3 linked regions of the Diceros bicornis minor genome follow. The protein of the gene in region 1 interacts with the protein of each later gene in a biochemical or structural test. Links are inferred from orthologs where the notes say so. Each region holds a gene or a part of one and is shown in the gene's direction. Other genes may lie near its edges.

Evidence for each region.
Region 2: the proteins of MAP3K7 (region 1) and USP29 form a complex in vitro, tested with the Homo sapiens proteins (2 studies listed by BioGRID). The link is inferred for Diceros bicornis minor from reciprocal best matches to the Homo sapiens genes MAP3K7 and USP29.
Region 3: the proteins of MAP3K7 (region 1) and NOD2 form a complex in vitro, tested with the Homo sapiens proteins (2 studies listed by BioGRID). The link is inferred for Diceros bicornis minor from reciprocal best matches to the Homo sapiens genes MAP3K7 and NOD2.

What each region holds. Positions count from the first base shown.
Region 1 is NC_080762.1:42,349,238-42,358,163, forward strand, and holds the start of MAP3K7 (mitogen-activated protein kinase kinase kinase 7), read left to right. Parts: upstream 1-5,154; 5' UTR 5,155-5,334; coding exon 5,335-5,454; intron 5,455-8,926. UniProt on the Homo sapiens protein: Serine/threonine kinase which acts as an essential component of the MAP kinase signal transduction pathway. Plays an important role in the cascades of cellular responses evoked by changes in the environment.
Region 2 is NC_080773.1:35,252,105-35,259,900, forward strand, and holds USP29 (ubiquitin carboxyl-terminal hydrolase 29), read left to right. Parts: upstream 1-4,404; coding exon 4,405-7,194; 3' UTR 7,195-7,236; downstream 7,237-7,796.
Region 3 is NC_080771.1:4,259,016-4,266,911, forward strand, and holds the start of NOD2 (nucleotide-binding oligomerization domain-containing protein 2), read left to right. Parts: upstream 1-4,504; 5' UTR 4,505-4,554; intron 4,555-7,896. UniProt on the Homo sapiens protein: Pattern recognition receptor (PRR) that detects bacterial peptidoglycan fragments and other danger signals and plays an important role in gastrointestinal immunity.

The sequences.
Region 1 (8,926 bases):
ACCTCGTTCCAGTCTTCCCTGCTTCTGTAAAGAGCATCCTTCTATCTGAGTTGCACAAGTGAGAAATCTGGGAATCATCCTTTACATTGCCCTTTCCTTTACCTCCTTCTTCCACAACCAGTCAATCACTAATCCTACCAACTCCATTTCTCAGTATCTCTCAAGCATATCCATTTATCTATACTCCTTATGCCACTATCCATACTGTTCAAACCACTATTATTTCTTGCCTTGACTACTGCAACATCCTCCTAACTTCGCACTTCTCAAACTTTTTCATGGCATGACACAGGTAGAAAATGATAATATTGTAAGATACTCCGGGATGAACTGGAAAGGATTTGGAGGTATCTATTTGGGGCTTTATTTTAAAAATTATTGCTTTTCTCATGCTATGTAATTTTGAAAAATAAATAAATACAAAGTATTAGAGACAATGTTAAACACTGAATTTGTATAAATATCAAATATAGTTTTCAAAATATTAATAAGAATTTTTAATAAACTTTCCTTTATAAATAAATTTTTAATATAAGATTTTATACTTGAAACACCTACTATCAATTCCTGATCAAGACTTTTTAAGGTGGATCTCTTCAAATTCTTACAGTAATCATCAAAAAGAAACTTTGTTCACACAAGGAAACCAAAAAAATGCTTAAATACTTTTACAATCATTTTAAAATTTACAACAGTTGAAATCATATTTAAAGACTCTAACAGCTCTTCTTCTTCTTTAAATGGCCAATGTAATGTTCAAATTTCTTGTGATATTATGAATGGATTTTGAAACCAGTTCAACTTTTTCATATCAAGTATTTCAAAATCAATGATGGAGATTTTATCTGCAGGACACATGGCACCACCAAAGCAGTTACCCTGCAGCTAGCTTGGTTGAGGCGGAAAAAAAGAACATTAGCTGCAAACAGAAGTTTCAGCTATATGCAATGTCAGAGAATGCCCTGAAGCTGCACCTGCCAGAAGCCTCTACTCCACTTTCGCAGGCCTACTCTTACTAGCCACATTGTTGGTACCTGGAACACAAATCCTTCCAGCAGCTCCATGGGCTGCAAAAGACCTAAGATGAAGATGTGGGGAGTAGAAAATTTGGAATGAACTCAAATATCAAAGAAATGCAGGAATTTGGGGAGCTGCTCTCCAGCAGTGTCACTGAATTGCTAAGGGGTTGGCTATCCTCTGTGTACTGCAGTTTTGAATATAGTACAGCAGAAAACTATTTCTGAACTTCCTGGAAAGAATAATATTTGATTGAGTTGGGCTAGTTTGGTTCTGGGACAAGCAGTAAAGACAGCACTTTCTAGGTATAGAGCTCAACCTGAATAGACATATGAATAATGAACATTTGTTGACTGTATACCCAGCAACCATTCCCTGCTTTGCCCTTCCTAAGAGTCTTCAGATTTTTCTTGTAGTTAGCAGCTCCTCCTTCTCAAAGTCCATGTTTTCTCAGTCCTGGATCTAAACTAAACAAGATATTTGCAACCTCAACTCTCCTGTTCCCCATTCCTCACTCAAGGGTACAGTTGTCAAGGGCTTTTGAAAAAGAAAGTTCTTTGCTCTTCTGAGATAGCTACCAAAAGATGCTCTCTGTTATTGTACTGGACAGTGTGACATGTCATATGAAAAATGAAACTGCTGGAACGTGCGTTCTCAATGGGGATGATATCACCTCCAAGGCGGTGAAAATTAAGGAGAGAAAAAAACAACACTTTTTATGTATAAAGCATAAATATGCATACAGTACATAAACAGATACACAGTATATCCGTGGTATTAAAACTTTGGGAAGGCATTTAAAACAACCTTAAAAGGCTCCTGGAGCCGGGGGGCAATAATGAAAACAAAAGTTGAGAAACACTGTTCTAGAGCAATGGCACATACCACAAAAGGCAGAAGACAATGGAAACTCAATTTTTGATGCTAACATTAAGTTTATGAATCAAGACACCTGAAGCCTCTTCTACCTCTTGACTTTCCACTTAACTAAGCCAATAAATCCCCTTTATTGTTTCAAGTATTATGTGTTGAGTTTCCTGTTACTTATAACAAAAGTGATACTGACTGATAAAATAGGAAACACTTTATCTAAAGTTAATCTAAATGTATTACACACGCCAATGCAACAGAACTTTAAAGTGGAACTATTTTAATCTGTTTCTGCTAAGTCTCCATGAAAACAGGTGCCAGGTGTCCTTATATCCAAAATGAGGCAAATAGGATGAGAATCCCATTTAGAACATTCAGAGATGTTGGGAAATGGATTTTGAAACTCTTGGCCCTCATCCCCTGGATAGTATAAAAGTGTTAAAATTGAAGACAGAGTTGAAGGTTAGAGTAGTTATTAGGACATTAACATGAGGGTGGGTGGTGGAGAGTGATCAAACTGGGAGGGACTTAAAGACCACTTAAATAGCTTGATATGTATCTCTGGAAATTTGTAGAGACACAATAGACTGGTGACTGAAGTTGACATGAAATTGTGACGTCCAAGCTTCCATCCTTAACTCATGAAAGCTGAAGAAGTTAAAGGGGATGCAAAGTCAAAACTGGGGTGAACTAAAATGGGTTCAGCTCCCTTCCCTCATTTCTCTGGATTCAAACTGTATTACTTAGGATTGTTTGATTGCAAGTGACAAAAATACAACTCGAATCAGCTTAAACGAAAAAATGGGAATTTACCAGCTCACATAATCAATCACAGAATGGAAGAGGTAGACTGCATTTGGGGGATGACTGGATTCACAGACATGAACATTGCTGGGATTTTATTATCAGAAGCTAGTGAAAAGGCACCATGCAGACCAAAAAAAGGGTGGTCTGCAAGCAAATAGGACAAGAATTGATTTTAAACTAGTATCAATATCAGAAGTCGAAATCAGTGGATAAAACACAAAAGTAGAAGTATTGGGGTAGACGGTCAAAATCATGCAGGAAATCCACTTTGAAATGCATTCAATCAAAAAAGATAAATGTATGTTTGTATGGGTGGATGGACAGATGGACAGGTATATGATAAAGCAAGTATACTAGAATGTTAATGGTAGAATATTCTTGCTAAGTACATAGGTGTTCACTGTAAAATTCTTTCAACTTTTGTATGTTTGATACTTTTCATAAAATGTTGTGGGAACACCAAGCAGGAGAACAACATCAGGGCTGTAGTGATTAGTCCCTTCTCAGCAGGATTCTAGTCCTAAACTGAAGGTATACAAAACAGATCTTGCACTCCAGGGAAACGAAGGACTGACAAAAGCTATTCATTCATCCAGAATATATAACAAATATTTCTTGAGTTCCCACTTGATAGCATCCACTGTATTAACATCAAGGTGGTAAAGAGAAATCAGATATGACGCACAGAGTGATAGCACAAGGTTAAGAGGTGACCATCCTAGTTTGGGAATTCAAGTAGAGAAATGACAGATAAAAATGGTTATCCCATTGACTTAATCTGGTTCTATTTGGTTATCAGTGCCCTAACCATCGTTTTACATGCAGAAATAAAGCCCTGATTTCCCACTTGGACAACTGAGTAGATGATGGGATCCTTCACGAAGACAGAAAATGCGCACGGAAGAATGTATTTGTGGTGGGTGGTAACTTCAATTTTTTTTTGGAATCTTCAAGTTTTGGTGTTTATGTTATATCTAAATAGAGATGTCCAATAAGTCCAGAATTCATGAAAAATTTGAGTAATGGGAGAGATTGGGAGTTATCATCATATAAGCAGTATAGGTGGTCAAGATCTTGGGTAAGATCATCCAGAGAGTGTACAGTGAAAAGAAATTATTCTTTCTTTCATTCTTTTATCCATTCACCAAACTATCATTGAGTGTTACTAGAACCATGAATGAAGAAAGACAATGTATTCCAGGAGTTCATAACCTCTTGATCGCCAAGTCAAATGACCTATTTGCTAACCCAAATGTGTTTAACTTACTTCTGTACAGCATTTATTTGGTTGGCTGCTCTTTAACAAGAAAGCTCTCCTCCAGTGATATTTGGATCATCATTCCCCTGACTATCTCCCTATCTGTTCCTTTTTGGTCTCTTACTGAGATTCAGATTTTGATATTCACAGGCTTTCACCTTGGGTCCTTAAACCTTCATTTCGAACTCCAATTTTCCCAGTTAGTCTTTAGGTCAAACCGACTAAATAAAAACTAACATTTAGTTTAAAACTAAAAACTGTGTTGATAGCACAACACAGGCAATACTATCCGGAGATATACTGACAGGTTCTACCAGCTTGTGAGAATCATAATTGTTTTAACCTCTCTGAGCCTAATTTCTCATGTCCTGAAAATGGAAAAAATATATATTATTTTGCAAGGCCTTTGTTAATGATTAAGTTATAAATGCACAGCATCTAGCACAGTGCTCTGCACTCGATACGTACTGTTAATATAACCCATAACTTCAGATGAACACAAATTATGCCAAATTACAAATATCTCCCTTACCTAATATTAACTTCTATTCGTGAGTACTCAGCCTTCGTAGTGTTATTCAGGTTACATGCAGTGGCTCGCTCTGTATTATTTGCTTTAGAATCTGATAGCGTCAAAGTAACAATAGCAACCTGGCTCAAAGTAACAGTAGCAACCGCTTCCTTCCATATACCACATTGAGGGAAACACATTTTCCAAGGCTTCTTAAAGAAACAGTTCTGCTTAGCTTACTTTTAGCTTAGCTGAAAACTAAGCTTCGTCACAAAAACTCAGTCCAACACCACCCCGTCCGTCTGCAGGTCTCTGAGAGAAGAGGAAGCGGGGCCTTAACGTAGTTCACGAAGCAAAGTTAAAAACGTAGCTTTTATCTTTCCCGCGGGTTGCTAAAGGACCAACCGCACCAATATCCCGTCGTCCTCCGCGCCACTTCCGTTCGCGCATTTTAATTACGACACTTCGTCAGCTCTCGCGGTATCATCCGGTTGCTGAGGCCCTTTAACAAAGATCTCGCGAAATTTGTTCTACAGGCCCAAGATAGCCTCTCACCCTCCCCTACCACACCCCCAACCTGTCCTTCCTTTCTCTGGCTCAATCACAAAATTCTCCCCTCCCCTCCCTTGAGCTCACGGCCCTCCTCCTGTTTCCGATTTCAGGCCGGAACCGGAAGTCTAGTGGGCGGGGCCCGGCGGCGGAAAACGCAGCGGAGCCGGAGCCGGGACTCGGCTGTGGCCGCTGCTTCTGTCCCCGCCGCGGATCGCCGTGGCTCCAGGCTGAAGGTCGGTCCGGAGGCGGGTGGGCGCGGGTCTCCCCCGGAGTGTCCGGGCGGCAGCCTCCCCGGGCCCCCCGGGCTCCACAAGGGATCATGTCTACAGCCTCCGCCGCTTCCTCCTCCTCCTCGTCTTCGGCCGGTGAGATGATCGAAGCACCCACCCAAGTCCTCAACTTTGAAGAGATCGACTACAAGGAGATCGAGGTGGAAGAGGTGAGCGAGGCCTGGCACGGGGCTCCGGCCCCGGCCTGTCCCCGCCTCTGCCTGGTCCCGACTCTTAAGGCGCCTCCCCGGCCCCTCTGATCCTCTGGGCCCCGCAGGGTCCACCCCGGAGTCCCCACAGAGACCGGGTATAGAGGGAACTCTCCGCGTTCAGCTGCTCCCCGATAGCTCTCTTTTTTCCTCACTTCGGCACTCTTGAGTTTGGATTTGATATTCTGGTGCCTGGATTTGGGTCATCTCAAACAGGAGGATGGACTGGTGAGGTAGTGTGGTCCACCAGTTCCCATGTCTCTAAGTAGTAAATTCGTCAAAGACCGTGGCCGTTTTGGAGTTTCAGCTCACTACGACGTGGTGTTCTTAAGGACCAAGGATTGTATTCTCTTCGACTCCTAGCTCGGTGCCTAGAACGTAGTGGATGCTCAATAAGTGTTTGGTAAATTAGCACATCACCATGTCTAGTAAAGTGTTTCCCCGGGTACCGAACGGTTCTGTTTCGCTGTTTCCATAGAGCAGTAGCTGTAATATTAAATGTTCTGCCATCAATTGGACTAATTTAGATGAATTTCACCATTAATAATGTAGACTGGTCTAGAAGGAAAGATGTCTCGAGTAGCATGTTCTGAAGAGCCAACTAATGATTTCGGTGACAACCAGAACATAACAGACAGAAATCGCTGTTAGAAAATCCGAATCCATCCTTAAGTTATTTTAGAGCAAAGTAATATGTGCCTTTAATACGTCCCTTCTTTTCAGATTCACAGAGAAGTAGACTGTTTCTAAGAACCATAAAATTTAGAAAAGTAAAAACTATATGTTTTAAAGATACACTTCAGAAAGTGTTAAAACTTTGGTTGAAAATAGTATCTATCAGTTACCATTTATTTATCATTTTTAAAATATATTAAGCACTTTACATAACGTATGCCATAAAGAACCCTGTATGTTCTCTTTTGTAGACTCTCAAAGAGTTATCTCTACTTTAAAAGTTCAAAATTATTTTTAGGTAGTGGCAAACTAAAAGTAATGGGATAGTTATCATTCAATAAATAAATTTTTTTCTATGCGGGTTTTGGAAGAATAATGGATTACTCAGTCGTATTTTTTTATTGCATAAAGTAACCTTAGAGATCACTGAGAACAACCTCATTTTACAAGGTAGTGTAAGTGGGAAGAGTGAGGCCTTTAAAGTTAAAGGAAGGTTCAGAATATCAGCTATGCCACTTATTAGCTGTGTGATTTGGAGCAAGGTTCCTAACTAACCCCTTTGAGCCTTGGTTTCCATAACTGTAAAATAGGGATAATAATTTCTATTTCATTTTATGTGTATAATAGATCCTATTAGGCAATATGTGCAAAACACAGTGCTTGACACATATTACTAAGAAACAGTTCCAGAGAGGAACATTGACCTGCTTTAAGGTCACATGGCTAAAAGAAGGACCTGTGTTTTGAAAAGGGGGCAATTTGTGTGTGTGTGTGTGTGTGTGTGTTTTCTATTGAGGCTAAATTCTATTGAGGATAAATTCCTTTTTCAGAAGTGGATAGTTGATCCAGCTTTCGTGGCTAACATTCTTTCTTTTTTAAGAATAAAAATTCAGTGAGTCAGTATAAAAGAATTGCAGTTTTTAAATAAGCATTTACGTCTACTCTGTGGCGAACTGCTGTGCTTGTAGACTACAAATTGTTATATAATAATAACTTGTGCTTCATAGTCTACCAAATGCTTTCACAGACTTACATTATTTGAGTCTTACAAGGTTGGTTTTCCACACACTACTTTCTAAAGCGTTTACCTTCTTGCTTCTTGGAAGAATGAAAGTTACTAAGGAGACAATTATCATTTTGTTGCTCTTCCACCAAAGCCATTTAACTTCTGATTAGATTTTTATGTTTCCAAAGACCCTCTTTCAGTTTAGACAATGTTTCAACCCGTCTTTGGTATATTTAGGACATTCCTGGGGAGTAGATTTTTGGTTTTAGATGAAAATTTCTAATATTAGACAGTCATTTAGCTGTGTTTTTTTCATTTTTTAATGCCAGTTTATTTTCACTTTAAAGATTGAATTTGGATCTTTCTAATGTTGAGACTATTACATAATTTCCATCATCATTTGCATACATTAAAACAGTGTTATATGATCCAGGGTTCACCGTGGGCACTCGGTAACTATTTCTCAACTTAGAATCTGCTTCTAGGTTAAAATCATGAATAAGAGAATAGAGGAAGATGACCAGAAACAAAAAGTATTTTACAAGGTTTGCAGTATTTTGTATGGTGCAAATATATTGCCTATAAATAAAGAAAATTGTATTCTGTATTTTTCAGATAACAATGTAATTGAATCAGCGTTATATCAATTCAGTTAGAAACTATGTAAGAAAAAAACTCCAACCACAGACCAAATTTGCAGTCATTTGGTAGATGCATATTTTTTAGGCATCAGCTGATTTTAATCCTTAAATTCCTAATGTTGTGACTCAGTAATATCAGCATGACACTTCCTAAATTCAGTTCTGATATCCAGTTATGTAAGGTCTCAGCCTCAGAAACATACGTAGATTTTTTTTTTTTTAAATCATTTAGTTTTTACCATTCTGGATCAGAGTGTAGAAAATGTTAGAATAAATTGTAAGGTATGTACATTGGGGACTAGGTTGCAAGAAGTGGTAAGGGCAGTGTGGAGTGGTGAAAAGTGTACTGGGCTGGATATTTAGAAAATGTAGATGCTGTACTGATTCTGCCATAATATATTTCAGTAACTTTGAGCAAGGCACTTCAATTTTCTGGGTCTCTGATTTCTCACATAAAATGAGGGATTGAAGAAGATCATTTAAGGTCTCTTCCAGTTCTAAAATGAAAACACATTTATTGTTTGCTGTATTTATGCTCTATTTCCACAGTAAACTTTGACAGTGATCGTGATCTCCTGTGGAATGTAGTTGGTGACCAACTAATTCTGGTTAGGCAGGGCAAATGGTATCCCCATTTTGCAGATCTTGACAAGGGGTCAGAGTTTGATTTGCCAAATCCTCACGCCTAAGTAAATGGTAGAGCTGGGAATTGGACTTGAGATTTCTCACTTCTGAGTCAGTTGCTCTTTCCACTGGATTTATTTACAGTGTTGTTTTAGTTTTTTCTGAAATATTTTATAACCAAACCTTATTTTGAGAATGGGGAAACAAAATACTGATTTCCTTTATAGTAGTTAGTTCTAAGCATTTAATGAATAGTCTCCTCAGTGCACAATACTGCTTAGGTACTGTGGAAGATGAATAGAAGAATTCTAGGATTCTCTACTTAAAATTTTTGACTTATTGTGAGACTAGAATAAACACAGAGCAGTTAATAATTGCATTTTCAGAACCACAAATGTAAAACTATGAATATAATGTAAATTGAGCCCTTAAGCCATGATAGGGTTAATCACAGAAGGTTCCATTGAGTGGAAAAGAGTTTAAAACT
Region 2 (7,796 bases), on another chromosome or scaffold:
AGATTGGGACAGGATTGTGAAATAATTGAGTGAACAAGCTAGATTTAGTTCCAGTAGAACTACACAACTGCATTTTACAGATGGAAAGTTGTATACATCTATGAATAAGCTCTCCAAATATAGACTTTGGGTTTTTTTCTTTTCAGCAAGTAGAAACATGTTTAGAGAACTGATTTTAAGCTTCATCTTCTCACTAACTACTAAACTCAGGTTTGATTGGTTAGTTGACTTCATCACGCCTAATCTATACTAAGATAAACCAAATTAAATGCCACAAAAAGAAAAACTCAGAACTTGATATAAAAGTTCTCCTTGGCTTACCTAAATTCAGTGGCATGACTGGGATAACATTAGTAAGTTTAATTCAATTTCTTCCCTTTCTCCTTTTAGCTTTGGCTTCATCGTTGAATAGAATCTGAATACGAGCTCTGAGGCAAAACCAGCAAGATCAGTTGAAATAATACCATTCTGGATAGAGAGCTAAGGGTCACGTGGGCTTCTCTTAGGTCTGTTTCCTATCTCAGCCTCTTGGGTGTTGACTCCTTCTCCCAGGAAGTAGAAGATGCTCCCACACAGGGCTCCTGGGGTCAGAGGCATCCACATGGTCCCTGGAGCTATATCTAGCCCAGCCCTGCACCTTCTGAGGATGTCAGTGCTCACTTTCATGCCACCCAGCCCAATTATCTCTTTTCAAGCTCACTCTGCTAAGGACAGGTGTGGGGGCATGGGTTTTTCCAAATGGGAGAAGGAGGGATCCAAATTAAATTGGCAATATAAAAAAGTGCTCTGATATGCACATCAGCACCTTAATATCCATGTCCTTCTATTTACTCGATCAGTTCCTTCGCTAGAAATTGTAACCACGATCTTTGGAATTTCACACTTATTTGAATATTTTCATCTACAGATTTAAATAGAACCGTTACCTTGGTGTTGCTTCCTGAGAGGGACTTGCAAAACAAATTGAGTCTTCAGTATAGCCCAGGTAAGTAACAAGCATTTGGCCTGATACAGCTCCTAACTTTGGAGTCACTGGGGGAAGAATTAACATTCACTAAGTACCTATTCTTGATGAGGCACTGTATTTGATTTTTTGTATGTGTTTTTGTCCTGTAACCCTCCAAGTAATTCCAAGAGATGGGTCTTTCTGTTGCTACCAATATGCCAATTTACATATGTAAAAAAAGTCTCACCAATTGATAACACAAACTCTGAGCAGGCACCAATTTATTCTATCCATTCCCCATGTCCCACTGCTTCCTATTCTGAATAAACCTCAGTGCCCCTTAAAGTTCTACCCATGGGGCCTCAGACGCAACTTAAATTCCCATACATTTAATCCAGTTTTCAGGCATGAGGTGCATGTACTTTTTTTCTTGTTCTTTTTTCCAGTTTTATTGAGATATAATTGACATATAACATTGTGTAAGTTTAAGGTGTACAACGTAGGGATTTTATAGATGTATAGATTGCAAAATGATTACCAAAATAAGGTTATTTAACACATCCATCACCTCATATAGTTACAATTTTTTGTGTGTGGTGAGAACTTTTAAAATCTACTATCTTTGCAACTTTCAAATATATAATACAGTATTGTTAACTGTAGCCACCATGCAGTACATTATATCCTCAGAATTTATTCATCTTATAACTGGAAGTTTGTGCCCTTTGAACAACATCTCCCCATTTCCCCCACCCCCCACCCCTGGCAACCATCAATCTGTTCTCTGTTTCTATGATTTTTCAGATTCCACATATAAGTGAAGTCATACAGTATTTGTCTTTCTATGTCTGACATTTCACTTAGTATAATCTCCTAAATATTCATTCATGTTGTCACAAATGGCAGGATTTCCTTCTTTTTATGGCTGAATAATATTGCATTGTATATTTATACCACATTTTCTTTATCCATTTGTGAGTCCATGGACATAGGTTGTTTCCAAGTCTTGGCTATTGTAAATAATGCTGCAGTGAACATAAGGGTGTAGATATCTCTTTAAGAGAGTAATGATTTCTGTTCCTTTGGTTATATACCCAGAAGTGGAATTGCTGGATCATATCATTATTTGTTTTTTTTGCTATTGATTTGTATGATTTCCTTATATATTTTGGATATTAACTCCTTATCAGATATGTGGTTTGCAAATATTTTCTCCCATTCCATAGGTTGCTTTTTCATTTTTTTGATTGTTTCTTTTGCTGTGCAGAAACTTTTTAGTTTGATGTAGTCCCACTTGTTGATTTTTTTTTTTTTTTTTTGGTGAGGAAGATCAGCCCTGAGCTAACATCCATGCCAATCCTCCTCTTTTTGCTGAGGAAGACTGGCCCTGAGCTAACATCCGTGCTCATCTTCCTCCACTTTATATGGGACGCCGCCACAGCATGGCCTGACAGGGTGTGCATTGGTGCGCGCCCGGGATCCGAACCTGGGCTGCCAGCAGAGGAGCGTGTGCACTTAGCCATTATGCCATGGGGCTGGCCCCTGGCCACTTGTTGATTTATGCTTTTGTTGCCTGTGCTTTAGGTGTCGTAGCCATAAAATCATTGCCAAGATGAATGTCAAGGAACTTTTTCCTCATGTTTACTTCCAGGAGTATTATGGTTTCAGGTCTTACATTTAAGTCTTAATCCATTTTGAGTTAATTTTTGTGAATGGTGTAGGATAGGGGTCCAGTTTCATTCTTTTGCATGTGAGTGTCCAGTTTTCCCAGCACTATTTTTTGGAGACTATCTTTTCTCCATTGAGTATTCTTGGCTCCCTTGTCAAATATTAATTGACCATATACACATGGGTTTATTTCTGGGTTCTCAATTCTGTTCCATTCATCTATGTGTCTGTTTTTATGCCAGTACCATGTTGTTTTGGTTATTATGGCTTTGTAATATAGTTTGAAATTGGAAGTGTGATTCCTTCAGCATTGTTCTTTCTCAGAATTATTTTAGCTATTCAGGGTCTTTGTGGTTCCATATGAATTTTAGGGTTTTTTTCTATTTCTGTAAGAAATGCCATTGGAATCTTGGTAGAGGTTGCATTGAATCTATAGATTACTTTGGGTAGTGTGGACATTTTAACAATATTAATTCTTCCAATTCATGAACACAGGATATATTTCCATTTATTTGTTTTTTCTTATGTCTTATAGTTTTCACTGTACAGATCTTTCACCTTCTTGGTTAAATTTCTTCCTATTTTATTGTTTTGGATGCTATTGTAAATGGATTGCTTTCTTTATTTCTTTTTCAGATAATTCTTCATTAGTTTATAGGAACACAACTGATTTTTGTATATTGATTTTGTATCCTGCAACTTCACTGAGTTTGTTTCTTAGTTCTAACAGTCTTTTGGTGAAGTCTTTAGAATTATCTGTATATAAGATCATGTCATCTGCAAACAGACAATTTTACTTCTTCCTTTCTGATTTGGATGCTTTTTATTTCTTTTTCTTGCCTGATTGCTCTGGCTGGGACTTCCAGCACTGTGTTGAACAGGAATGGTGAGAGGGGGCATTCTTGTCTTTTTTCTCATCTTAGAGGAAATGCTTTCAACTTTTCACCATTGAATATGATGTTGGCTGTGTGCTTGTCATATTTGGCCTTTATTCTGTCGAGATACATTCCTTCTATATCCAATTTGTTGAGAGGTTTTGTTTTGTTTTGTTTTGTGAGGAAGATCAGCCCTGAGCTAACATCCATGCTAATCCTCCTCTTTTTGCTGAGGAAGACCGGCTCTGAGCTAACATCTATTACCAATCCTCCTCCTTTTTTTTTTCCCCAAAGCCCCAGTAGATAGTTGTATGTCATAGTTGCACATCCTTCTAGTTGCTGTATGTGGGACGAGGCCTCAGCATGGCCGGACAAGCAGTGTGTCGGTGCACACCCGAGATCTGAACCCGGGCCGCCAGTAGCGGAGCGCGCGCACTTAACCGCTAAGCCACGGGGCCGGCCCTGTTGAGTGTTTTTATTATCAATGGATGTTGAATTTTGTCAACTGCTTTTTCTGCATCTATTGAGATGATCATGTGATTTTTGCCTTTCATTCTATTAATGCAATGTATCACATTTATTGATTTGCATATGTTGAACCATCCTTGCACCCCAGGGATGAATCTCACTTGATTATATATCCTCTACTTAAGCCATCCTTCATCTTCCTCCCCTCCTAACAGCTACCTTGAAAAAGCATGTGTTCTGAATTTACATCTTCTAAAGAATTGGCATAGCTTCAGAATATAAGTAGTTCCCCCAAAGTGTCTTTTACCTAAGGCATAAGGAGAAGACTAAAAGAAAATTATTATTACATAAGGTTTTCCATATTGGTTTAATCCAATAAATTTTGGATTAAAGTGTATATGTGTGCTTTTTTATTTAGGTTACATGAGTTTGATTTGTAAAGAAAGGATGGCTCCTCTAAAGATACATGGTTTTATCCAAATTTGGAGCAAGAAGACCGGGGTAACTAAATCTAGAGAAGTATCCATCAAAACAGTGGAAGGAAAAAAGGAAACTAGCCTGGTGGTCATTTTCAACTCTGGAGAATTTATAAGGGTTTTTCAGCTAAGTAATAATATTACAAGTGTGGTCCTTAGACATGATGGAGAGAGACAAAGTTGCCTGAATTTAACTTTGAAAAATAATAGCTCCTTGTTTATTGACAAATTATCCTACAGAGATGCTGAGCAGTTGAAGATGTTCCTGGACAAAGTCCATCAAAACAAATTCCAATCACCTATGAAATCTGATAATGATTGGGGTGTTTTTGACAGCAGGAATACACAGAAAGAAATTGACAAAACTCCATTTCACAAAGTTTGTGACAAGCCAAATTATGGATCATTTAATATAGAAAAAGGAAGTGAAACACCTTTCCCTCAGAAGGTGCCTTCATTAATGTTAAAATCACCAATGCTTGTCACAACAGGGCTATCAGGAAATCAAGGTGGAAAGTGGAAAAGAACGCTATCATATGGTCTAGAGATGAATGAGGGCCTCCAGGAAGAAAATAACCCCATACTAAACAAGAAACTGAAGGCAGATTCCTTTAAGTATGTAAGCAGCAATGAGAAGAAACCATTGCATTTAAAAGATTTAAGAAGGAATAGAAATTCAAAATATGAACCTCCGTGCTGGACCATCTCTCCTGAAAATCCTAGCCTAGATAAGCCTGTTCTTTCAGTCCAGCCTCTCTCTTCCAAAAGAAGTTTGGAATTTCCATCAGAACAAATATATAGTCAGAATGACCCAGGATGGAATGAACCCCAGGTGTCTCTTGGCTCTCACCCAGAACAACTATGGCAAGGCTTTCCCAATTTGGGAAACACCTGTTACATGAATGCAATTTTACAGTCCCTATTTGCGATTCCATCATTTGCGGATGACTTACTCATGCAAGGTGTCCCGTGGAAGAAAATTCCATTCCGTGCTCTGGTTATGCACTTCAGCCAGTTACTGGTATTAAAAGATGTTTGTAACATACGGACCAAGAAAGAGTTACTTGTAAATATTAAAAGTGCCATTTCAGTGGTTTCAGAGACATTCTCTGGCAACATGCAGAATGATGCTCATGAGTTTTTAGGTCACTGTTTAGATCGGCTGAAAGAGGACATGGAAAAATTAAACAGCACTTTGAGGACTGAGAGAGAACTTGGGGATGAAAATTCATCTCCGCACATGTATGCTGGTAATGCTGCCGCCAAAGTATTTGTTTGTCCTGTTGTTGCTAATTTTGAGTTTGAATTGCAGTGCTCCATTATTTGTAAAAGCTGTGGTTGGGTTGTTCTCAAGGCAGAACCAAGTAATTATCTCTCCATCAACCTTCCCCAAGAAACAAAACCACTTCCTTTCTCTATTCAAAATTCCTTTGATCTTTTCTTTAGAGCAGAAGAACTTGAGTATAACTGTAAGAGGTGCAGGCACACGAGTTCTGTTGCAATGCACAAATTCAGTAGGCTTCCCAGGGTCCTTATTGTTCATCTGAAACGATATAGCTTTAATGGTGTTTGGTTGCTAGTGAAGGATAACCATCGAGTCCATATTCCCAAGTATTTAAGCTTATCTTCTCATTGCAATGATAGCACCAAACCACCTCTTCTCTTGGGTAGAAATGCACCTACTGGGGACTCCAAAGTCCTGAAAATCTCGCAAGAGATGACTTCTGAGGTCATCAGCCCATCGACACCTTCAGTAAAGTTGATCCCAGAATCCAGTGATTCCCTGGCTTTACAAATTGGATCAGACAAGGATGCCGAACCACAAAATGATCAGAAAATCTGTGAAGAGTCAAGCCAAGAACAGCAGCAGACAGACCTGGAAAATGGTTCTAAACTGAATGTAATAGAGTCAGAACTGGTAAACTCAGGAGATAGGACAGTCAGTGAAAAGAAGCTGCCAGCAGCTGACTCGATGGATCAAGAAGATAGTTCTCTTCCTATGATCTGTGAAGGTGGAGGTAAACCTACCAGCAGCCCACACACAGGTCTTGTAGAGAGTCATCTTCAAGAGGTACCTGACAATCCAGAACTTAAGAAATATGAGAAAACCAAAGCATTTATAGAGTTAGGCTTTGACAGTGTCACTGAGACTACTGAAGATTTTTATGAGGATAAAGAAAACAGGATTCCAGAAAGACCTCAAGGAATGGCTGAACAACTCCAGCAGCATGATGGGAAGAGAATCTATGAGGAATTCCTTCAGCAGGAACCGACTCCAAGCATTGGGAAGCCGAATGCCCAGGAACACACAGAGAAGGACCTCAATATTCATCAGAAGGCTAACCTGAATTCCCTTGGTGCACTGGGTTCTGACAAGAACCCTGGAAGCAAAGAAATTTTAGATACAGAGAACACAGAAGCTGAAGCCAGGGAACTGAAAAGAAATGCCAAGATGGGAGATCCTCTTCATGCCTACCGGCTCATCAGTGTGGTCAGCCATCTCGGGCACTCCCCAAACTCAGGCCATTACATCAGCGATGTTTATGACTTTCAGAGGCAGGCCTGGTTCACATACAGTGATTTACAAGTGTCGCAAATCAAAGAGTCTGTGATGCAGAAGGCTAGGCTTTGCACTGGGTATATCTTCTTTTACATGCACAATGAGATCTTTGAGGCACTATTAGGAAAGGCAAAGAATTCCCAGGTACTTAGAACAGAGGTAGGGATGCTCCCTTACTCAGGAGGAACAAGAGGAAGATGACTCCTTGCACAAATCTCTTGACTGCCTCACCCAGTCACACTACCTCCATGGAAGGAAAATTCTGAACCCTACCCTGAGATGAAGAGACAAGTAGCTCAAGAGGAAGCTCAAATAGAAACACCTATTGTGGGGAAATATGTCTCCTAACTCTGCAGCAGACACCTTGATCCCATAGCTCATGCTGATCCGGATCATTCTCTCCTACAAGATTAGAAAGGTGCTTTTCAGGTAGTAATGGAGTTGTTTTCAAAATGTTGTTCCTACACCAGCAGCTGCAGCAGCAGCCAGGGACTGATTAGAAATGCAACGTTTTGGGTCCCACTGCAGACCAACTGAGTCAGAAACTCTGGGGGCACGATCCAGCAGTTGATGGAGAGCCAATGCTCCAGAAAACTTGAGAACCATTACTTTAGTGTGAAGAGTATCTTGGTATATTTTGATACTGTATATACAAATTGCTTATGTTATGTAAAGGATTTGAATTACATTTTTTTTGTTCCTCAAATTCATGTATGCCTTTCTTTTGTAAACTTATTAAAATAAAAACTCAGCCATTTCATGTAGTATTGACTGGCTTCCACATGTGTTTGTGACTGGGTACT
Region 3 (7,896 bases), on another chromosome or scaffold:
GGACCAGCATGGAGGCTGGTGTGAGGCCAGGTGACCTTCTGTGTCAGCAGCAGCAGCTATGCTGGGCAGGGCCTCCTCCCTCCCAGACCTGCCAGAGATAGTCCTAGCTCCTGGGGCAGCCCTGGGGCACAGGCAACTGGCGATCTGTCCCTCCACCAGCCTCCTGACCAGGGAGAACTTTAAATGACACAATCTGGAGGGTTTCTCCTGAAGAGGAAAAGTCCCAGGCCTGGGGATTCCCAGGAGCTTTGTCCTCCTGCCCCTTCTGAGCACTGCCTGGCTGGTGCCTGGGTCAGAGCACCTGGGGACAGGAATGTCACCAAAGGGTCCCAAATGCCTGTCCCTGGTATAGGGTCCTGAACACAGAGAGGTTTTGATAGATGCCTCTTAACTCACTGAAAAGTTTTATAAAATTATTATTATACAAGTAACATATACTTATTAGGAAATACAGGTTAGCAAAAAAGAGTTTTAAAAATCCTCTTACGGTTGTAAGTAAATTTTGAAGGATAGTCTTTTAGGTTTTTCAATGCACATATTCATAGAATTTTATTACAGACTAGGGGCATACTACACAAAACATTTTTGAAACCCACTTGTTTTCTATTGAGATATAATTCACATAGCATAAAATTCATCCTTTTAAGGTATATAATTCAGTGGTTTTTAATATATTCACAAGGTTGTGTAGCCATCATCATGATCTAATTCCAGAACATTTTCATCATGCCAAAAAGAAACCTGGTTCCCATTCAGTCACTCCCCATTCCTTCTTCCTTCCAGGCCCTGGCAACCACGACTCTCCTTTCTGTCTCTACAGGTTTGCCTAGTCTGGACATTTCATATAAATGGATTCATACAATACGTGGCATTTTGTGTCTGGCTTCTTTCACTTAGCATAATGTTTTCAAGGTCTGTCTATGTTGTAGCAGGTTTCAATACCTCATTCCTTTTTATGGCTGAATAATATTCCATTGTATGGATATACCACATTTTATTTTTCCAATCATTGGTTGATGGGCATTTGGGTTGTTTCTACATTTTGGCTATCGTGAATAACACTGCTATGAACATATGTGTACAAGTTTTTGTGTGCACATGTGTTTTCCATTCTCTTGAGTACACACCCTGGAGTGGAGTTGCTGGGTCATATGGTAACTCTCTGTTTAACTTTTTGAAGAACCGCCAAACTATTTTCCACATCAGCAGCACCATTTACGTCCCTACCAGCAATGTGTGAGGGTTTCAACTTCTCCACATTCTTGCCAACACTTGTTGTTTTCTATCTTTTTGATTATAGCCACCTCTGTGGGTGTGAAGTGGTATCTCATTGTGGTTTTGATTTGTATTTCCCTAATGACTAATGATGTTGAGCATCTTTTCATGTGTTTATTGGCCACATCTCCCTTGGAGTAATGTCCACTCCAATCCTTTACTCATTTAAAAAATTGCATTAGTCTTTTCATTGTTGAGTTTTAGGAGTCCTTTGTATATTCTGAACATGATTTGCAAATATTTTCTCCCATTCTCTTGGTTGTCTTTTCACTTTCTTGATAGTGTTCTTTGAAGCACAAAAGTTCGTGATTTTAATCAAGTCCAATTTATTTTTCTTTGGTTGCTTGTGCTTAGGTGTCATCTGAGAAATCACTGCCCCAGCCAAGGTCAGGAAGAGTCACACCTAGACTGACTTCCAGGACTTTTATATTTCAGCTCTTACATTGAGGTCTTTGATCCATTTTGAATTAGTTTTTGTATATAGTATGAGGTGGGGGGTCCAAATTCGTTCTTTTGCATGAGGCTATCCAATTTTCCCAGCACCATTTGTTGAAAACACTACTCTTTCCCCATGAGTTGTCTTGGCATTCTTCTTGAAAAGCAACTTACCTTATGAATTTAGCCTTATACTATGGACGTTTCTGTATGCTAATAAACATGCCTCTATAGCATCTTTTCAAAATAAGTTTCTAGGGGCCGGGCCGGTGGCGCAGTGGTTAAGTGCGCATGCTCCGCTTTGGCGGCCCGAGGTTTCCGCAGGTTCGGATCCCGGCTGCGTGCGCACCAACGCACCGCTTGTCAAGCCATGCTGTGGCAGCGTCCCATATAAAGTGGAGGAAGATGGGCACGGATGTTAGCCCAGGGCCAGTCTTCCTCAGCAAGAAGAGGAGGATTGGCATTGGTTGGATGTTAGCTCAGAGCTGATCTTCCTCACACACGCAAAAATAAATAAATAAAATAAATAAATTTCTATTAAAATATAACAAGCATAAAGGAAAATGCAAATATCATAAGTGTTTAGCTTGATCAGTTTTCACAAAGTATTTGCACCCATGTGGCCACCACTCAGATAAAAAAAAACGTAGAATACTACTAGCACCCCAGAAATCCCCTTTGTCCCCCTCCTGGTCACTACCTCCAACCTCCTCCCCAGTGGTAACCTCTATCCTGGCTCCAATCCCTGTAATTTAGTTTTTCCTGCTTTTGAACTTTATATAAATGACATCGGACAGTATTATGCTTTTGCATCTGGATTCTTTCACTCAACGTGATGTTTGTGAGGCTGCAATAGTTCATTCACTTTCATTGGTTATTAGAATTACAGCATCATTTGTGGTACATTCACATAACAAATATTTATTGCATGCCAGTCCCCATGCTAGGCCCTGGGATGAGGCAGGGAACAAGATAGTAAGGTTCCTGTTCCTCAGAGCTCATGTTCTTTTGTGTGAGAGACTGACACCAAAGACGATAAATACTTAAATATATAGGATGTTGTGTACAGATAAGTGCAATAGAGAAAAATACAAAATAAAGCAGGCAAAGGGATGTGGGGGGAGTGGCTGCAATTGTACACAGGATGGTCAGGGAAGGCCTCGCCGAGAAAGTCACACTGAAGCAAAGGCCTGAGAGAGGAGAAGGAGGGAGCCATGTAGATTTCTAGAGGAAGGGCATTCCAGGCAGAGGGAGGAGCAAATGCAAAGGCCCAGAGGTGGCAGCAGGCTTGGCATTTTCCAGAAACAGCCAGGAGACCAGTGGCTGGAGCAGAATGAATGAGTGGAGAATGAGGAGGGGTTCAGAGAGGGCACTGGGCACAAACAGCAATTGTAAGGATTTCTTTGACTTTTACTCTGAGATGGGACTCACTGGAGGGGTTTCAGCAGAGGAATGACATAATTTGACGTTTTTTACAGGCTCACTGTGGCTGCTGTGTTGAAGAGAGACTGTAGCTGGAATCATGGAGAGTGGCTAGGAGCTCTTGCCGTAACCCAGGTGAGACGCATGGTGATTTGGACCCAGGCGATAATGGTAGATGTAGTAAGAAATAGCTGCCTTCTGGATATATTTTGAAGGTCAAGCTGGAAAATTTGGTCCCAGGTTGGATTGGGGTATGAGAGAAGATGAGTCAGTTAAGTTTTCCAGGCTCAGTTGCCCTGTCAGTTTCTTAAGTAATCTCCTATTATTGGGCAATCAGGAGGCTTCCAGCTTTTCGCCGTTACAGAGAAGATGGTGGTGAACATCCTCATAGACAGAGCTGTACACCATCCAGGATTTCCCTGGGGTAGTGTCCATCCTTGGAACGCAGCATTCAACCTTCAACCTCAGCCGACTGTGCACCCCCCTGCAGGTATTTATCTGGAGGCAGTGTGGGGTAGTGGTTAGAGCACAACCTTTGGAGCCAGGCGCCTGGGGGCAAATCTTGGCTCTGCTGTCACTACTTGGGCAGGCGAACACACTTGTCCGTGTCTCAGTTTGTTTCTTTATAAACTGAGGATAATGATAGTCACTACCCTGCAGATAGGATTAACTGAGTTAAGGTGTGTACAGCCTGGCACATAGTAAGCTCTTTGTTAATGTCAGGATTTTCCTTTAAATTGAATTCCATTTAAAATTTTCCAAATACAAGTGTTTTAAAAGGAACGTTTATATTAATACCTTCGATAGAAAACCAGTGTGGCGTGCTCGGAAGAATAGGAAATCATAAAATAAAATAGACTTAATTTAATGGAAAGGAAACAGTGCTGTCCAGTTCTGGTTAGATATTGCCGCGGGGAGGACCGGCAGTGTGAGAGACGCTGTGAGCGCTGAACCGAGACGCTGCTCCTGAACTCCAACGGAAGGGTGCCAAGGACAAGGAAGAAAGAGGAACTGTGATGCCCTCGCCCACCACGTAACCCAGCCCGCTCCAGAGGCGGCGGCTCTGGGACTCCACAACGTCAAGGCTTGAGATGCCCGAGGACTTCCCGACTTGTCCTGAGGGCCTCTCGGGTTGAGAGGGGCGCACCTGGCGGGTCACAGCACAGCCGCCCCGCCCCGCGGGCGCCCGGCCCCCTCCCGCCGCTCTCCGCCGGCGCTCGGAGCGCTCGGGGCGGCCGGGGGCGGCGCCGGGGGCGGGGCGCGGGGACCGCAGGGGCGTGGCCGGCCGCGCAGGGGTGGGGTGGGCGGCAGCGGGGGCGGGTGCCCGGGGACAGGGCCGGCCCGCGGCGGGGGCACGGCGGGCGGACCGAGAGCCCGCGCAGCCCGGGCCGGAGCGGAGCGGGGCCCGGAGTGGCGGCCGCGGTGAGTGCCCCTGAGCCGGCGCGGGGACGGCGGGGACACGGCGGGCGCCCAGGCTCCCGCCCCGGGACTCGGACAGCTGGCCTCGGAGCCGGCCCGGCCGCCAGGCTTAGGGAGGGGCTGCCTCGGTTTCCCCTTGGGGGAGTCCCGGGGACTAGATGGAAGGTAGAAGGAAAGGGGGCGTCTCGAGGATGGGGAGCCCCCTGGCGGGCCGTGGCTACAGAGGATCAGGGGGCTTGGGGATGTGGGCGGAGCTTCCAGACCCCAGGAGCCTTTGAGGTCTGGGGAGAGCTGTGATTTGGGGATGAGGGGCTGTGGAGGGAGAGCCTGCTTGATGAGAAGTCCTGAGCTCCGGGCTGGCCTGGGAATGAGGAGGCCAGGCTTCAGGTCTCAGCAGAGGCTACTCTCTGTCGAGTCCCTTCCTCTCTCCCGGCCTCAGTTTCCCCATGTCTGTGAATGGGTGGGTGTAAGCGAGAGAGTGCCTCAGGGGAGTCACCCCATGGGAGTCTCCTCCCCCTCCTTGGTGTGTGTGGAGACCCTGCTCATTCCCCATGCCGGCCCAGACAGGCCCTCACCAGGGGCGGCCCAGCATCGGATTCTCTGTGTCTTTTGCCCTCTCCTTTGCCCCTCATGTTGGGGAGCAGCCGTCTGGTCTGCTTGCTTTCCAACAAATGAAAAAGCCCCCAAATCTCCCTGAGGAGAGCCTCCCCCAGCTGACCCCTGGCTCTGGGTCTGTTCTCGCTTCTTCCCCTCTTTCTGAGCCCTTAGCTTCTCCCTGCCAATGGCCTTGGTCTCCCCATGGGCTGTTCCCGGCCATAGGATCCTCGTCCCATAGAGGGGACAAGCCTGCCGTGTCACCTGTCCCCTGACGCTGTGGTGAAGAAGACCAGAGTGACATCCCTGTTGCCTCTGTTCTCCTGTCCCAATTGCTCCGCCCCTAAGTTTGTTGGTTACTCAGATCTTTGCCAATTTGCACCCTGGGATCTGAGGCTGGAAGGGACCCCAGCCAGCCCACCTCCCCCCAACCCGGTGCAGGATCCCTTTGCTGCATTTGCTCAGGGACTGCGAGCTCGTTCCTTATGAGGTGGCTGTTCAGCGTCCCGCAGCTCTCGTCTCACTTAGCTGAAATCTGTGCCTTGCTGATTCCACCCCTTGGCTCCACTGCTGCCTTCTGGAACCTGCGGTTAATTCATTCTTTTATTCTTTCACACAATCTTTGTCGGTGAGACACTGGGGATATCGCAATGAAAAAATCAGACCCAGCTCCCTGCCCTCACGGAGTTCTTATTCTAGAAAAGAGTGGGACAGCAGGCAAATAAGTAAATACATGGTATGTCAGGTGGGGGGAAGTACCATGGAGAAAAATAAAGCAGGCGGGGAGATGAGGTGTTGGGGTGGGTATTGCAATTTTCTATTGCCTAGTCAGGGATGGGCTCCCTGAGGTGGTGACCACTGAGCAAAGCCTTGAAGGAGGGAGGGGTGAGCTCTGGGGGGGAAGGGACAGTGCAGAGGGAAGAGCTCTGCAGAGGAAACAGCACCTGCAGAGGCGCCCCGGCAGGAGCATGCCCTGCAGGAGCAGGTCTGGCTGTTCCAGGAACAAGGAGGAGTCCAGTGTGGCTGGAGCAGGGTGGTGAGGAGCCAGTGGGGCATTAGTAGTAAATGAGTGCAGAGAGGTAAGAGGGGAACTGGGGGTCCAGTGCCTGGGGCCTTGAAGGTCACGGCGAGGGCTGTGGTTTTCACTCTGAGTGCAAGGGCAGCCGCTGGAGGGCGTTGAGCAGAGAAGTCACCTGCTCTGACTTAGGGGTCAGCAGGTGCATCTGGCTGTGGCGGGAGAAGAGACTGTAGGGTGTGAGGGCAGAAAGGGGGGACCGGTGAGGGGCCCACTGTTGTCATTCTGGGAGAGACCATGGGGGCTTGTACCCATGGCGTAGAGGTGGCGACATAATCTCGGTTTCAGATTTGGGATATATTTTGAAGGTAGGGTGGATAGGATTTGGGGTGCGAGAGAAAGGTGGAGTCGAGGATGACTTGGAGTTTCTGGGGCCCGAGCATCCAGAAGTTTGGAGCTGCCATTGACTGAAATGGGAGCTGTTTAGGGGAAGATACGGAGTTTGGTTTTGTGCTTGTTAAGTTTGAGATGCCCATTAGGCATCCATGTGAAGATATCCAGTAGGCAGCTGGGAAAAGTTTAGTGGAGAGGGTGGAGCAGGAAACAAATTTTGGGCGTCCTCACCATTTAGCTGGCATTTAAAGCTGGAAGAGCAGGTGGGCTCGCTTAGAGATGGAGTGATAGGGAAAAAAGAGGTCAAACCAGGGGATTCCGGTGCTCCCAGCGTTAGGGACCAGCCAAGGAGACAGAAAGGGCAGCCGGTGAGAGGGGAGGTAAAATCAGAGGGCTGGGGTGTCCTGGACGGCAACACAGAAAGTGCTCCAAGGAGGAGGGAGGGAGCGATTATGACAGCCGCCTTTGACAGAGCAAGCAAAATGAGGGCTGAGAGCGGAGCAACGTGGAGGTCACTGGTGACCACGCTGAAAGCAGTCTGGGGGGCGCGGGGGACCGTCATTGGAGGGGATGGGGGAGGACTTGAGGACAGCAGTACAGACAACAGACAAGGAGTCCTGCTGTGAAGGGGGGCAGAGAAATGAGGTTGGACTTGAAAGGGGAAGTGGGGGTAGAAAGAGGGCTTTACTTTTAGAATGGAGAAATTACAGTCTGGTTGTGTGCTGGTGGGAAATGCTTTCCTAGAGACAAGTTCGGTGAAGGGGGCGAGAATGGAAGATGGCTGCAGGAGGGCAGGGGGATGGATCCTGTGCCCCAGGGAGGCTTGGCCCCAGCTGAAAGCCAGGACAGTTCAACAGCTGGCCTTCCCTGGGCCTCCCTCCCTCTCCTGTCTGCAGGGGCCCAGTGGACTGAGATTTCAGCACTTAAACACATTAACTGGCTCGGGGCCCCAGAGAAACCAGGCTGGCTGTGGTCTCAGGAAGGAAGAAGGTGTCAGGACTTGGGGATAAGGGAGGACCCACGTGTGTTGCCCCTTCTGCTTGATCCTCTTTCAGCAAGGAAGTGCCCCTCCGTTGCATGGGTGGGCTTCACTTTCCTGGAGGAGAGACTGTAATGACTCCAAAGGTGTGGTCACTGAAGTGGAGAAGAAAAGGCACTGCGATAGGCTGATGTATTTAGTCTGAAGGGGGGAAGTCTGAGCAGGTGATCAAGGGGCAAGAGGCAGGATTTTAGGGACAGTTTTTATGAAATAGGTGATGAGTGGACATGTATTTTCTTTCTCCCAGTTTGAATTGAAGCAGGAGAAACTTAAGCTAGATATAAGGAGGAGCTTCCTGAGCTGG